Linked DNA regions of Neodiprion lecontei. The main gene of each other region encodes a partner of the protein of the gene in region 2 in a complex. Links are inferred from orthologs where the notes say so. Each region holds a gene or a part of one and is shown on either strand. Other genes may lie near its edges.

What was found.
Region 1: the proteins of mitochondrial import inner membrane translocase subunit Tim22 (region 2) and mitochondrial import inner membrane translocase subunit Tim9 are in contact, whole or in part, in a cryo-EM structure (PDB 7CGP), measured with the Homo sapiens proteins. The link is inferred for Neodiprion lecontei from reciprocal best matches to the Homo sapiens genes TIMM22 and TIMM9. Residues at the interface, in NP_037469.2 of Homo sapiens: Asp35, Arg37, Gln38, Pro39, Arg40, Leu42, Gly45, Ser46, Leu47, Gly49, Ile50, Ser52, Pro53, Lys60; in NP_001291414.1 of Homo sapiens: Gln13, Glu16, Phe17, Thr20, Leu57, Thr60, Gln61, Met65, Phe67, His71, Gln74, Asn75, Leu78, Lys81.

What each region holds. Positions count from the first base shown.
Region 1 is NC_060265.1:19,685,212-19,692,585, reverse strand, and holds mitochondrial import inner membrane translocase subunit Tim9, read left to right. Parts: upstream 1-3,672; 5' UTR 3,673-4,016; coding exon 4,017-4,058; intron 4,059-4,653; coding exon 4,654-4,884; 3' UTR 4,885-5,819; downstream 5,820-7,374. Other genes in the region: mitogen-activated protein kinase kinase kinase 11, read right to left, coding at 209-426, 611-845, 1,139-1,326; G patch domain-containing protein 2, read right to left, coding at 5,820-6,523, 7,285-7,374. UniProt on the Homo sapiens protein: Mitochondrial intermembrane chaperone that participates in the import and insertion of multi-pass transmembrane proteins into the mitochondrial inner membrane.
Region 2 is NC_060262.1:34,055,182-34,063,208, reverse strand, and holds mitochondrial import inner membrane translocase subunit Tim22, read left to right. Parts: upstream 1-3,552; 5' UTR 3,553-3,715; coding exon 3,716-3,716; exon of another isoform or gene 3,717-3,797; coding exon 3,798-4,058; intron 4,059-4,240; coding exon 4,241-4,425; intron 4,426-4,576; coding exon 4,577-4,649; intron 4,650-5,016; coding exon 5,017-5,099; 3' UTR 5,100-6,221; downstream 6,222-8,027. Other genes in the region: uncharacterized protein LOC124293463, read right to left, coding at 881-1,004, 1,408-1,595, 1,776-1,943; septin-1, read right to left, coding at 6,471-6,603, 6,734-6,838, 7,183-7,548, 7,788-8,027. UniProt on the Homo sapiens protein: Essential core component of the TIM22 complex, a complex that mediates the import and insertion of multi-pass transmembrane proteins into the mitochondrial inner membrane. In the TIM22 complex, it constitutes the voltage-activated and signal-gated channel.

The DNA.
Region 1 (7,374 bases), on a different chromosome or scaffold from region 2:
ATTAGGCACTTGTCAACTTGATAGCCAATAAGATGTTCAAATTACCAGGCAATCTAGCATAATCATGGTAGTAAGAAACCAATCAAACAGTTATAGATCCAGGTACAATTCCTGGATCTGATAATAAGATTTGCTAAAGAAATTATTCAACAGTGAAATAAGTTCCTCGTTACAAATCATATATTAGATGAAGTTGCCCCACACTCACCTATAGACTTTTCCAAAACCTCCAACACCGATGACCTCCTCTAATTGTAATTCATCAAAATCGATTTCTACTGGTTGAACTTTGTCAATAACTGAAGAGACCTTGTCGATACTATCAGCTTTAGCAACAAAATTGGCAGGAAATATTCCCACCTTTCCATGAATTTTACCCGTCCACCATCCTTCATCGCCGGAAATTTTTGAATCTTTCGACAGAACCTAGTAGAATACAAATAATACATCTGATGTTTTACTTAAACTTGGAACTTACTTTTTAATAATGTAAAATAAATATATTGATACAACAAGTATATACTTAAGAGTTTCTTGATATTTTATGTTAGGCAAGAATATATATATGCACACACATTTGAAAAGAAATATTGATATCTAATTGAATTACCTCAACAGTTTCACCTCTTTGAAGCGTTAGCTCATCTTCACCCTGAGCAACGTAATCAAATAGAGCGGTGAAAATAATGGAGCTATTGTCATTTTGCGATTGTGACGAGGAATACGTTCCATGAGATGGGCTGGTTTGTTGGGATACGGTTTTAGCCGTGCCACCACTATGTGTGTCAGAAACGCTGCTGTCCGACATGTTATTGTTCGAAGCACGTGCCTCTGAATATCCGTGGCTAGTCCATAACAATTTTTTTCTTACTTAACAAATTTTATATTGATAATAACTATTATTATCATTTTCATGTAATAATGGAAACTGTGTCGTTTAATACCAACACAAATCAATGGTGCAACAAGGTAAAAATAAAGTAGCTAAGTGAAGAAAATATAAGCTTAGGTTCAGATATTTGTGAAAGAACAAGGATTTTAAATTTTTACTTTATCAACGTAATCTTTTTATAGTTTCAAAAAATGGTTATTAAGCTTATTTCACTCCCATTTATGCAACCGTAGCGTATCTGATTACCTCGTCCAATGGTGGGTGCCTCTGTTGCTCGGCTGATATCTGGGTGAATTGGTATTGCTTTGAGTCTGATAGCGTGTGGAGCCATTCTCCGGATAATGTAAAAATCGCTCGCTCTGATGACGAGCGTCCGGATGTCCGTGGTCCATCAAAGTAGACAAACCTCGTGCCGATAGCCCGGCAGGCGGCATAAGGCCCAAGCCTTTCCGCTGTTATCCTTTTTAACAAAATTGATCTCTACATAGTTTTCAGCTGTTGTTGATACAGCTGGTTTCCATTCTTACATTTCATTATTTGCTAATAGACAAGAATAATTTTTTAAACGAAATTTTTAAGCCATTTAAGAATTAATGATAGCTCACGAGTACAATCTTTAGGCTGTAGGCAGCTTACAAGGAAAGAAAAATTTCAGCCACTGAACAACATCTGCAGCTGATGTGTCATTTCTCTAACTGGTTTATCACTAGTAAATTAACAATTTTGAAAAATTATCAAAACCAAAGATTCATATTTAAAAGCAGGTTCATGTAAGTATGAATTATGAATGGTGCATTTCCTTGCTTTTAAGGAATGTAGGAGTATGCAATGTTGAATTAAAATTTAGAAAAGAGCTGATGAGCAGCAGAGAGCGTTAACATAGCTAGTTTTGCAAAATGCAATCAGATTTACTTAAAAGAGCTAAAACTTGAGAATAGAAAAAAACAAAAAACATTACAACCATGTTCACAAACCTCAAGAGAGATAGATATCGGGTACATATGGTTTTTGCTACAAATCATAGTATTCAAAAATTGGATGTTGGTTTCATTTCTTTACGGCATCTCACCAAAATGAATATAATTAAAGTCAAAAGTCTTATTTCATATTACTTAGTTAATATTTTTCGAATATAGAAATGGAGCCAATACTTTTATAATTTATTCAATAGAAATTAACAAAAAAAAAAATAACAGCAGGCATATTGACGCAATAACCTGTTAAATCTATTGATAATAAAGGCCAAATCAGGCCTATTTATAAATTTGATTAGAGTTCGAAGATGTTTGGAAGTGGAAATTCAGTATTATTGATTTTTTTTTTTTATTGATTTTCTGTAAACATAGTCAAAGATGAAATGAAATATTCTTTAACTACTAGCATGGATATAATTGAATTGATAATTGACTGTATATTTCTCAGGTTAATAAATATGTCGAAATTGGTGAATAAAATTTCGCATAAAATCTAATTAATTAGATTACTGTAAAATAATGCATGATACAGGTTAGTGTGATGATGTGCATACTAATTGACTTGTTTTAATGTCGAGGTTCATTCACTGCCATATTTGAGATGCATTAAAAAATAAATAAAATAAACGAAAAAAAAAACTTATCATCCGTTAATGTCATCACGTGACAGATATGAAAGTTTATAGATTAGCCTGTGAAATAAAGTGGCAGAGAAACAAAATCCATATATTTACCAAAGTGATCTTCAAGCAGCCGATGGTGGCTCTTATCCCACTGAAGAAAACACTGTACAAAACCTCGACATTTTCGGGTTTTAATATACAATTATCACCAATCAGCCAGAGTATTTGTTTGCGAGGGTGAACAACAGTCAATAAGAAACTACTAACTACGTCACAAATATAGGAGAAACCCATAAAGCTGAGGATATACTCGAGGGATCTCGCGTCAGGGTGTGTATACCCACAACCCACTGTTTATGCAATTCAATTTATATGTTTTATTGGCGTTCTGATTACAGAGTTACGTTTAAACCGGGGCGAACGAGGCCGGGACGCCTTCCCGTACGCGCCGCGCTCCGCATCGGCCCGGAAAACCTGTGAAATTTTCACATTAACACCAGAAAATAAATTATCACTCACGACAATAACCTAGCAGGCGCCATGTTTAATTTGATAGTCCCGTCCAGGAAGACTGGAGGGAAGCAGACCGAACTCTAATGCATTTGTGGCGTAAGCTGAACTCCAAAAAGTGTCGTCTAGAATAGTTCTAATTTTTACCACCGTGTTATGTTCGCTGCTGTACATGTTTTACGATCTATAGCATGGCTACACTGGCTGCACCACTCTACATAAGGCTTATTCCCGCGGAGGTAGCATCATCACTAATTTCTATGGTATAACCGGCATAACCACTGATACGTTGACTGAAGTTGTATCACCTGATCTCTATATTCTGCGTCGCGCAACTCAAGTCAGTAAACGGTACTATTCATAGGAAAGACAACAAGAACAACAATAACTAATGTTACCGTGCGCTCCATATACTTAGCCAGTGTGACTACTCGTCAGGCAATTCTGGAACACCTGGAAATGTCATGGAATTCTGAAATTCTCGAATAGTCTGCTATGATAAACAACCGAAAACTACCAACAAGAGGTTTTCTATTCGGGACATTGAATTTCAATGCAATTTACAGTTAATGAGGAGCTGCCGTAAGTTAAATCCGCCGGGATTGGACAAACTCCCGGAACTAGTGCCTAACTGAAGTCGATTTATTTTTATGCTATAAGGGGTGGGGGCAGTCCAAACCACGATTCATACCATACGAATAAACATTTGGAGGGGAGTACTTTTAACTAACTTCAGACATGGAAATGCAGTAAATTGAACCATCTCTGATCCTAACGTGCAAGAATACCGATTTTACACATAATTTGTATTTGCCAACTCTTTACATCAGCTGTAGAAATATTCTAAACCCAAAGATTGACTAGATAAATTCGGAGTTTCTTATTGACCAGTAAAATTCGCAACTTCCACGTATAACATTGCCACAGTTTTATTGGGACGTACTACTAATGAAATATCTTGTTGGATTTGCGAATCCTTACTTAACATTCTAGTCAATCAAAACTTGAATACTAAAAATGGAAATGCCGACTGAAGTTGATGCGGAGCAAATCAAGTCGGCAAGTATTCGTTTTATGTGTCAAAATACATGCGACTGAGTGAGGACCACTTCAATTCTGAACTTCTCAAGGGTCTCAAATTTGAATATCAAAAAGTATAAGAAAATCCTCTATGGGAACCGAATTCCATGTCAAGTCTTATATCTGTTATATTACGCTTTGATTTGTTATTACGGTAGACATCATCTGCAGTCATAATATTTTTAGGTTATCGTTTGTCCACGTTGCTAAGTTTTGAATTCACTAGCTTGTTTTAAAGGACTAATAATTCCTTAACAACTCTAACGTAACCCAAATATTCGAACGTATTCCCAAATTGAGTTCAAGAAAGTTGTCATTCTATGTAACACTTGTTCATATGAAGGCCAATCTAGATTATGTATAATAGAGTTACCAATATCTTGTACCGTTGAAGTAAAATTACGAATGTTGATCTATTACAACTTTCAGCAAAAGTAATTTAAACGTACTTTCGTCTTGTCCTACAGTCTGGTAAAAATTCGAAGTGTAACGATATAATTAATCGTTTAAATTTGACATAGTAAAATATTTAATAAAACATATTTATTATTGGAATAATTTTATAACTTTTCAGTTTAGAGACTTCTTGACATCATACAATAAGCTATCGGAAATCTGCTTCATTGACTGTATAACCGATTTTACAACACGAGAAGTGAGAACCAAAGAGGAGAAATGTGCGCTGAATTGTATGGAGAAATATATGAAGATGAATCAGAGGGTCTCCCAACGCTTTCAAGAATTTCAGATGATAGCCAATGAAAATGCAATGGCAGCAGCTAAAAAATTAGGTCAATTACGCTAATAATACTACATTTATTTTTGGTCATTTAGAATTTTATCAACAAGTGCTCCTCGTTCTATGTTATATGCTATTAGTATATCAAAAACGTCTTACTATATGAATAAACTAACGCATGAATTTTATAGAAGTAGTAGTGTATTTATTGTTATATTATGTTTTTAAACATAACTTCCACCATTGGCCCATCTTTCATGAACGAGTTTTCAAAAACCCTAATAGAAGATGATAATAATTAACATATACAGTATTCCAGACTGTACTGTAGGTAACAACTTAACACTATAGTTATAAATTATTATAATCATTATTTCAAGTGATATTCCAAAAATAAATGACCGGAGATCTACTTACACCTCAAAAAAAACTGATATACATCTTCGAGGAATTCTTGGGCATGTTTCATCAAGATCTGGTTTAGGCACAAAAATGTACAGAAGTATAGTTCATGAGACATGTAACTGTTGTTCTGGTAAACCTTAGTATATCAAATGCTTGTAAATAATATTTCTTTATGTAACTGTTCTTTACAGGCATTCTTACAAATGTTTTAAAATATAATTCAAACACAAGACAGGATTGTAAGTTTCTCTTTTTATACAACTAAATACCGGTGAAGCGAACGGAATTTTCTGATAGAATGAGAAAAATTACGAAATTCCGGAAAAAACTGCACAGAACGTCAGCAGATAATAGCGAAGTTTAATGAATTCACAAGAAGGGGACGGAAAAATAAAATCGGCTACATTTCTTTTCGCAATGTCATTGATTTTCGCCTTTGATTATATTCAACCATGCTATCAAGGTGCGATGGAGCTTGATTTAAGTTTGAATTATACTTACAAAAACTGGTTTATGACTGTAAAAATCGGCGTTTTCAGAGAATTGTCATTATGCAAGAACATATGTGTAGATTCGTAATAAAATCTCTATAACATTTAGCTAGATTTGGAGTGACCAAAGCTATGAAACTTTGGTTTTATTTGCAGGTCTGTACTTGGTATATCCCAGCCAAAGTTTACAGTTTGTGTCAGGCTCTCGACAGAGCCAATACCCTGTATTTGGTTTGTAATTTGTGTACCAAAATTCACACTTGAAATAGGTAGCTCATTCTCCTGCATTTCCGAATCAGGATTTGGCGAATTTGGTGGAGTCTTTCGTAGCCTTTTGTAATCGGATATTCTATTCAGAGAAACTTGATCGACGCAAATGGCTTGGGTCGTATGGCGAGTTTTGTATAAAATTGGACAACTCAAATCACCCTTCAAACTTAAGCTGTACAAATTGGCAAGCCTTCGTAGTTTTTCACGCTCAGGCTGTCGCATTGGATGCAGCTTTAGTTCACTTTGGCTAGGGTCCTGTAGAAACCTTGAAACTTTTTCGTTCGCCGAAGTTATTATAGAATAACCAGGCTTATTATCCACACGGCGTCGCCCAGCTCGAATTTCTCTGCCACTGAGTCCATCTCGAATCCATTGCATTCTTTGACGATAATTTTTTTTCGCCTCATCGGTTAAATGCTCAAAGCTACCGTGTAGTATTACTTGCAAAGCCGGATCTGAACTGACCTTTTCTTCATTTGTGCTGTCCCCGTCGTCCCACCATCCTGAATCTCCAATCCAATCGGATTGCTCATCATCGCCTGAAAGCCAAAATTTCGTAATTGTAATGAACACATCACTTGAAAAAAAAATATGCGTGTTTAATAGAATGCCTTCAGAAATAACTTTGTTTTTTTTTTTCCATCTCCCACTTCATGATACTATAGTTCATAACAAAATATTGAACTTTGTGAATGGAAAATGCAGAACAATTTTTTCAAGCTGTACCACATCGAGATTTTGTAGTTGCCATTTGATTTGATTAACACGTAAGAAATCCAATTCTGACGTTTATTTGATAATAATTTTTCTATACAAAGAACGGAACTTTCTATGATAGAGTTTGAGTACTTATTTAGTTTTCTTCAAATTGGCGCGTAGTAAAATTTGTCACTGTACAGATTTTTCGAAAGGGTGAAGGACTATGTTTACGTAATGTTGAATATCTCAGAAATCGTACTGCTTAAACTTTTCTATAACACGCCAATTTGAAGAAAACTAAATAAGTTGTGAAACGTATAGTATATAATATGTAGTATATAAACGTACCATAGAAAATTCCATTTCTTGTATAAAGAAATTATTATCTCCATCGAAACATCAGAATTGGATATCTCACGTTTTAATCATAAAAAAATGAAAAAAAAAAAACAGAGCATTTTCCTTTTATGACGTTCAATATTACATTATCGACTATAGTTTCATGAAGTGGTAGATCGGCACCCCAGTATTTCAAAGTATCTTAATGGAATACAGTATCTATATAACTTAAACACATGTTATATTTAAAATATAAACTCACCTTCGCGGTCTTCATCGTTGGTAATTATTCCACCTTCAGAATCACTCGATGAAATACTAGAGTTAGAAATGCGTGAGCAGTCCATCACAT
Region 2 (8,027 bases):
TGTGACATCCGTAAATTGCTTCGTGAGATAACCCAATGGTAGAGTTGATAACTCATCGTAGAACATCACAGAGTTTCCGATTTCGACAAAATGCTGGTTGCATTCACCTTCTGAGTAACACAGTCTTCGCAATGGTAGGCCCAAGCCAGTACTTGGCCTGAGTGTACCTACCGACTTGTCGGCGATACAAGAAATTAATAATGAGAACTAATATCATTCAAAATTCGTAGCAAAACAGTGATTCAATTAAAGTATAGGTACCCGAGAGAAGAATGTATACATAGATCATTAATAAAAATAAATCATATGTAATAATGATGCAGAGACCAAAAAGTGTAAATGTATATGCGGTCCATGTACGACATTGATATACCTGATTAATTTATGATTATCACGTGATGCAAACTATAAATTTTATAATTTGCTAGTAAACATACTAGATTATCTACTATAATCGGGTATAATATGACAATAAAAGAATTGTTCGTTTCGATATGGGATACAATTCGACACGCAGTCTATATATCCCATAACATTCATATTCAGAATTAGGAGTAGGAATAGAAGTAGGATCAGGAGTAGGTTCAAGAGTGAGAGTAAGAATAGGAGTAGGATCAGGAGTTGGAGTAAGATCGTAGTAGAAGTAGGAGTAAGATTGAAGTAGAAGTAGGAGCAGAAGTAGGAGTAGAAGTATGGGAGGAGGGTAGGGGTGGGAAGGGTAGGGTAGGGTAGGGTAAGCGGACCAATTGGATTGGGTTGGGTTGGGTTGGCAACTCCAACTCGTAACACTCCTACTTCTGATTCTACTCCTACTCCTACTCTTGATCCTACTCCTACTCCTACTCCTACTCTATTCAATACTTTAGAATGATATTCTCACAGTGCACGAATCCTCATCGTCCTCGACCATCTTGTTCTCCTTGTCTTCCTGGTCCTCCTTCTCGTCCACCTCCAGCCACAGCCAACCACCTCCAACAACCACCGATGACCACCTCGGGTTATACCTGGAATAGTAATCAGTCTTTTCAGTACAAGAACTCATCAAAAATATGTGCAAGTATTATTATAATTATTCAATTAATCAATTATGTAATAAATTTTAGTAGCGCACTTATAGCTACTGAATTTGTGCTTGCACGAAAAATGAATTGAAATAATTCATTGTAAACGTGACAAGTTTGTAATATTTCAGATGAAATATAATTACAATTGCCATCAAATATTATAAGAATATTAATTAATTAATTTGTAATGTAATAAATTGTATAAGATTATTCATAGCTACTGAATTTGTGCTTGCACGAAAAATGAATTGAAATAATTTATTGTAAAAATGACAAGCTTAAACAAATTTAGATAAAATATAATTACAAGGGCCGTTAAATATTATAAAAATGTTATACTCACCGTGCAGAAATCCTTGACCTTCTCGTCCACCTCATCCCCCGAGAGTCGAGATTCAGCGGGCAGCGGACTTGTAGTGGAAAACCTACGTAGCGCTTTTCCCTGAAGTCGAGTTTCATCAGGTAGCGGACCTCGAGCGCAGAAACGACGGAGCGCTTGTCCTGGAAGTCAAATTCTACCAGGTAGTGGACCTGGCGCGCAAAAACTACACAGCGCTTTTCCCTGAAGTCGAGTCTTACCAGATAGCCGACCTGGAGCGCAGAAACCACGTATCGCTTGTCCTGGATCTCGAGCTTCACCAGGTAGCGTACTTGGAGCGTAGAAACTACGGAGCGTTTATCCCTGAAGCCGAGTTTCACCAGGTCACAGACCTGGAGCGCAGGAACCACGGAGCGCTTGTCCTGGAACTCAAGTTGCACCAGGAAATGAACCTGGATAGTAGAAACTACGGATCGCTTGTCTTGGAAGTCGAGTTTCACGAGGTAGGACACCCGGAGTGCAGAAACTACAGAACTCTTGTCCTGGAACTCGAGTTTCATCAGGTGGTACACCTCGAGCGCAGAAACTACGGAGCGCTCGTCCTGGAAGTCGAGTTCTACCAGGTAGCGGACCTGGCGCGCAAAAACTACGTAGCGCTTGTCCCTGAAGTCAAGTTGTACCAGGTAGCCGACCTGGAACGCACAAACTACGAGCGCTAGTCCCTGAAGTCGAATTTCAACAGGTAGCGGACATGAGCGCAGGCACCGCGGAGCGCTTGTCCTGGAACTCGAGTGGCACCAGGAAACGGACCTGGAGCGCAGAAACCACCGAGCGCTTGTCTTGGAAGTCGAGTTTGACCAGGTAGCCGACCCGGAGCGCAGGATCCAGGAGACAGAGAACCCGGTACTCGAAATCTGCTGAGCGCAATTCTCATACGTCCGCTCTACCGCGCGGTTGTTTCCAGACTGAGGAATTCGGCTAGCTGATTTTCGATCGATGACGTCGAGAAAAAAAAATTTTGGGTGACGTCACTTTCTGATCATCCCAACATGCATACTTTGGTTTCGAACTTCAGTACTGTGTATGATGTATGTTGTATAACGTATGGTTCATGATGTACGATGTATGATGTATGGTGTTTGATGTATGATGATATGAGATGATCTATAATGATTTCAGTTTACACATTTTAGACAAGCAATACGCACTTCATTTCTTCTGCTGATTTTAGACTCAAGCGGCTAGGCTCTTTGATGGTCAGCCTTCGACCAAAGATATATTCTTCAATTAACGGGTCAGCTAATAACGCCGCCGTTCTGTAACAGTTGGATGATAGAATCTTTTGCTCGTGCCTTTCAAATGTGTGTTCAAATACACTCGAAACTTGACCAAGCTCCGTTCCATCTCTTTCTATCAACAACAAAAATCGCTGAGAATCACCGTTTTAGGTATTCAAATTAGGACACTGTATTAAATACTGTCTTATATACGGAGGATTCATTTCATCATCAAAATCAGCGCATCCGAGATGCATTACAGTTATTCTGAATTCTTCTCCGTACGAACACTTTTCGAAAACAATTCTGCTTTTCTAGCCAACGTAGATACTTCACTTGCGACTAGCTAAAACAGTGTTTCGATTCTATGCCTACGAAAGCTCAATATTGATACACCAAATGAAAAGTAGTTCGAATTATGAATAACAATGTTATGGAATACACCGAGCGCGTGTCGAATGGAATCTCATTTCGAAATGAATAAGTCTTTTATTCACATATTACAGTCGTATCATTGTAGATAATCTAATTTGTCTCCTGGAAAATTATAAAATTCATAGTATGCACCGCGTAATAATCGTAAATGGATCACATATATCAATATCGCACGTGGACCGTATATACATACATACTTTTTGGTCTCTGCATTATTATTACATCTGACCTATTACTATTTATGATCTATGTATACATTCTCCTCTCGGGTACCTATACTTTAATTAAATCACTGTTTTGCTACAAATTTTGAAAGAAATTTGCACTGATCATTAATTCCTCGTATTGCCAACCAATCAGTAAGTACACACAGGCTACGTACTGGCTTGGGCGTACCATTGCGAAGACTGTGATACTCTGAAGGTGAATGCAGCCAGCATCATGTCGAAATCGGTAACTCTCTGATGTTCTGCAGCAAGTTCTCAACTCTACCGTAGGAACGTCTCAGGGGGCGCAAGCGCATGACGATTTTCGGTTGTCATACCAAAGCCCTCAAAGCCCATTAGGGCAACTGTCTTTATATTCTTCAGTCAACGACCAAACCAAGCCCTAACCTCCAAAATATGTATTTCCGAATTGTAATGTGCCTCACGTAGTTTGACTAATTTCTAAAAGAAGAGTGTTAAATTTCGCATATCCCAGTGCGCAATAATCGCAAAGAGATGTTTTCCTTCAACCCACCCAAGCCGCCACCGACTCCCGAAGGAGATAAGAGAGTATTTATGAATGATCCTGACATGGATAAAATAGCCGTTCATTTGGTCGGCACTCAACAACGTTTCAGAGAGAATATCATTATACCTAGAGTGATGGGTCCCGTCAGGATAAAAACGAACGACGAGAAACTCATGGAGTCTGTCATGGAGAGCTGCATCTTCAAAAGCTTCATGAGTTGCGTTATGGGTATGTAGTTTTTCGTTAGCAATGGTTGCGCTAATCCCGTCACCTGTAGGTAAAATGGAAGATTACTTAGGATTGAAAAATAAAGTGCATATCTTGATCCTGATCTATAAGTGGTCACGCACATGAAGTTTTCCTAATCTCAAGAATACACATCACTGACTCATGATGAATTATGTCGATAGGCTACGGTCTTGGTGCAGCTATCGGTCTATTTTCTTCCAGTGTAAATCCAAACGTTGCTAGCGTAGAAAAACAGCAAACAGCACGTGAAATATTCAAAGAAATGAAGATGACGACACTTGGATATGCCAAAAACTTTGCTGTTGTAGGATGTGTATTCTCAGCCGTTGAATGTACCATAGAAACAGTAAGATTTACGTTATAGCACTAACAATAATTTGACTTATTCTCCAGTTGGTAATTTGATTACTTTTCGGAATGTTATTGTACTCCCTATTTCTACTTGAAAGATCATATATGAATCTGGTTGGAATGGTATAATGACCCTTACTTTTTAGTACAGGGGAAAGTCTGACTGGCGAAACGGCAGTTATGCTGGTGGTGTGACAGGTGGACTTATCGGTCTTAGAGGTAAGTTAGACTGATTTACACCCTTGATCATTGCATATACTCAGATTTTTTTTGATTTTTCTAAGATTGTGATGCCTCAAACCTGTTGTTACACTACAATAAAATTTCACGTTTTAAAATCCAATCGCTCAAACCCAAGTTGGTTTAAAGATTCTCTTATACCTATTCGAAATTAAACATATACTTGAAAAACTACTTCTTTACACATTATTTTCAAATAAAATCTCTCAAAATGCAGAACAAATCTGTCATACATTTGTACAAAATTAGCGAAACTTATAATACACGTATTATAAAATTACAATGTCATTGTCAAACTTAAAACAGTTAAAACTTCGTGATTTATTATTTTACCTAATATTTTTAGCTGGACTGAAAGCGGGTCTTGTTGGTGCTGCGGGTTTTGCAGCATTTTCAACAGCGATAGATTACTATATGCATAAATCTTGAATTTTTTAGACAAAATTAAATTATTTATTGTATAATACTTGTTAACTGTAAATAATATGCAAGAATAGTGTAATAAAAGCTGAATAAGTAATTTTTATGTCAATAATATATATTTTTTTCAAATTAAAATATAGAGAAGATCAAAATTTTACACAGGATAAGACTTAATTATTAGATTAAAATCACTTGGCTTGACGAAGGAGTTGTAAATATCTGTTAATCTATAATAAAATAGTTCATATACATTTTTCTTGCATTAAAATTTCTTACACACTTACGGTATCTACCTACTTAAAGATTTTCAAAATAGTTGACAATTCCTTGATCAAACTTCACTTTCTCAATGCCAATAAAAATGATATTAGGGTAATATGCCTCCTAATAAAGGTGAGGAATAATAAAAGGCTTTCACTTAGAAAATACAATTGTATAAAGCCGAAAAATTCCACTTAAATACAGATGAAAAAAGTATTATATGTAGATCAGTACAGAGTAAATGCGTTGTCACAACGAACAATTAAACCTATTTTATTTATAGAAAATATATACTCTTCTCTCATATTCGAAATTCGCCATTACCTAATACGATTCTAATTGCTTGTTAACATTCAGGAATTTGCAATACCTAAAACTGGCAGTATATTTAATCATAACTTTGATATGAGGAAATTTTGTACGAATTATGAGATTTTTTTAACTTCATATCGCACATACAATATGGAACGTATTTCAACATAGAAAACATAAATATCGCGCGGATATGTGATATTGTTATTAACATTGCAAGCAAAAACTAATGGGTATCTTTATACCTTTAGTATAAGAAATTCACTAATCTTCTTGTCAGGAATGGCTTGATATTGTCATATTTATTCTACCTCGAAAAGTTTTTTTTGAAATTAATTTTCACTAAATAATTATGTAAAAGTGCGGGTTGTGCAGAACAAGTTGGCTAAAATGATACACATTTCGTTTAAAAAAAAAATACTGCAAGGCACTCTTCATATTTCTCTTTACAATGCACACAGATATGTAAGTAACAAATGTTTTTGTGTCTTGGTTATTTTGTTTTTTTGGTTTAGCTTCTATCACTCAATATGCACGTCCCACAGCACATAAACATTCACAATTAAAAAATTATAAACTATGATGAGAAGTAAAAAAATTGTACTACGTCCTATGAATTGGTGGTAAAATAAAATCGATTCTGATTTGGAATTTCGGAATGGCAAATTCCAAAATTAATACCAATTATTGGACCACTCCTTTTTACGAATCAAAATTTAAGACAGTACTGTAGTTTCTTTCGACTTTTGGCACCTGGCAAGATGGAGATTTTATCCTCAAGATGTATTTAAATATTCTTCAATTCTAAGGTTGTTGTTGTTGCATTTGGGCCTGCATTTGAGCCACCATTTCCTGCATGCGTCGTAATTCCGCTTCCTTTTCTTGTAAAATACGGTCTTTTTCGCTCACAGTATTCGTCTTTTCTGACTCTATAATCCTGTGAGTTGAAAATAATTCGGCCAATTATAAAATAATTCAAGCAAAAAAAAATTATAAACCACTAGTGTATAAATATATTGATCATGAAATTCATAGACTTCTCAGGGTCAAACCATTGGGTGACATACGTTTGACGTCTCGGTGGCGCAGGAGCTCCTTTAGCTAATCTTTCAGAACGATAATTTTCATAATGAACCTCTTGCGTAACTTCTTGGAGATCTTGCATGTGTGTTCTGTAAAATGTAGAGATATAAGCATTATAACAATCAATAGAAATGGGAATATGAATTTTTCAGCTCAAGTTTCATGAAATGTACAAAAGAATAATTATAAACTTGATGCAACACAAGTAGTTACACTAGCCTTGAATAGCACGATAGAATGAATTGTGCAAATATTAACCTTTAGAGGACGAGAACACCCGTATACAGGGGTGACGCATGATCGACACTTTACCTATGATAGTTTTAACATATTAGATACCTTTGTTATGCATTTTCTGAAGGACACCAAGAATCCCAAATCCTCGTTCTCTAAAGTTTAATGGAACATGATATTAATTATGCTCAAGACTTACATAAGCATTGTCCTCAATTTTATGAAGTCACAATGGTCAGGATTTTCTACTTCCACAACACCCCACGGATACAATCGTCCCCTAACTTTTCTCCCTTTGACTTCTAAGAGCGTATTTGCACCACAAACTGCGAATGGTACTGCTTCCTTCAACTGTCTCACTTGTTCCTTGTAATCTTCATCTTCATCGCTATCACAGTCTGGAAGTGGGTATATTTTGATACCATTGCCTTCGATCTCCTCCATAACACGTTTCTTCAAACGAAGAACTTCCTTTTTCGTCAGCACATCCGCCTTTGCTATTACTGGTACAATATTGACCTTGTTGTGCAGTTGTTTCATAAATTCAATATCCAAAGGCTTTAACCTGAAGACACACTATGTTAGTGAATTTGATTTTCTAAAAAGGATTAGAATAAGTTAACTTCTACAAATGGGGAAGGGCAGAGATTGTAATGTTGTAATTATATTGTGAAAAACTTATTCTGCAAGTGAACGAACAATTCCATGCTACATAATTCTCAAGCAGGTATTTATTTCCAAAAGCCTTTCCTTAAACATGAGTCATGTTCATATTCCACAGTACAAACGTTGGTTAATGCTTACCCGTGACCAAACGGAGATATAAAGTAGAAACAGCAATGGATTCTGTTATCCACAATATTTCTACGATTAAGGCCACTTTCGTCTCTAAGAAATCTTTCAAATTGGTCATCAATATACTGAATAATGGCTCTGAAACTGTCAGTATTGTCGATAGCATCTCCGTATCCAGGAGTGTCCACTACTGTCAATCTAAGTTTCACACCGCGTTCCTCAATTTCTACAGTTGAAGCATCAAGCTTC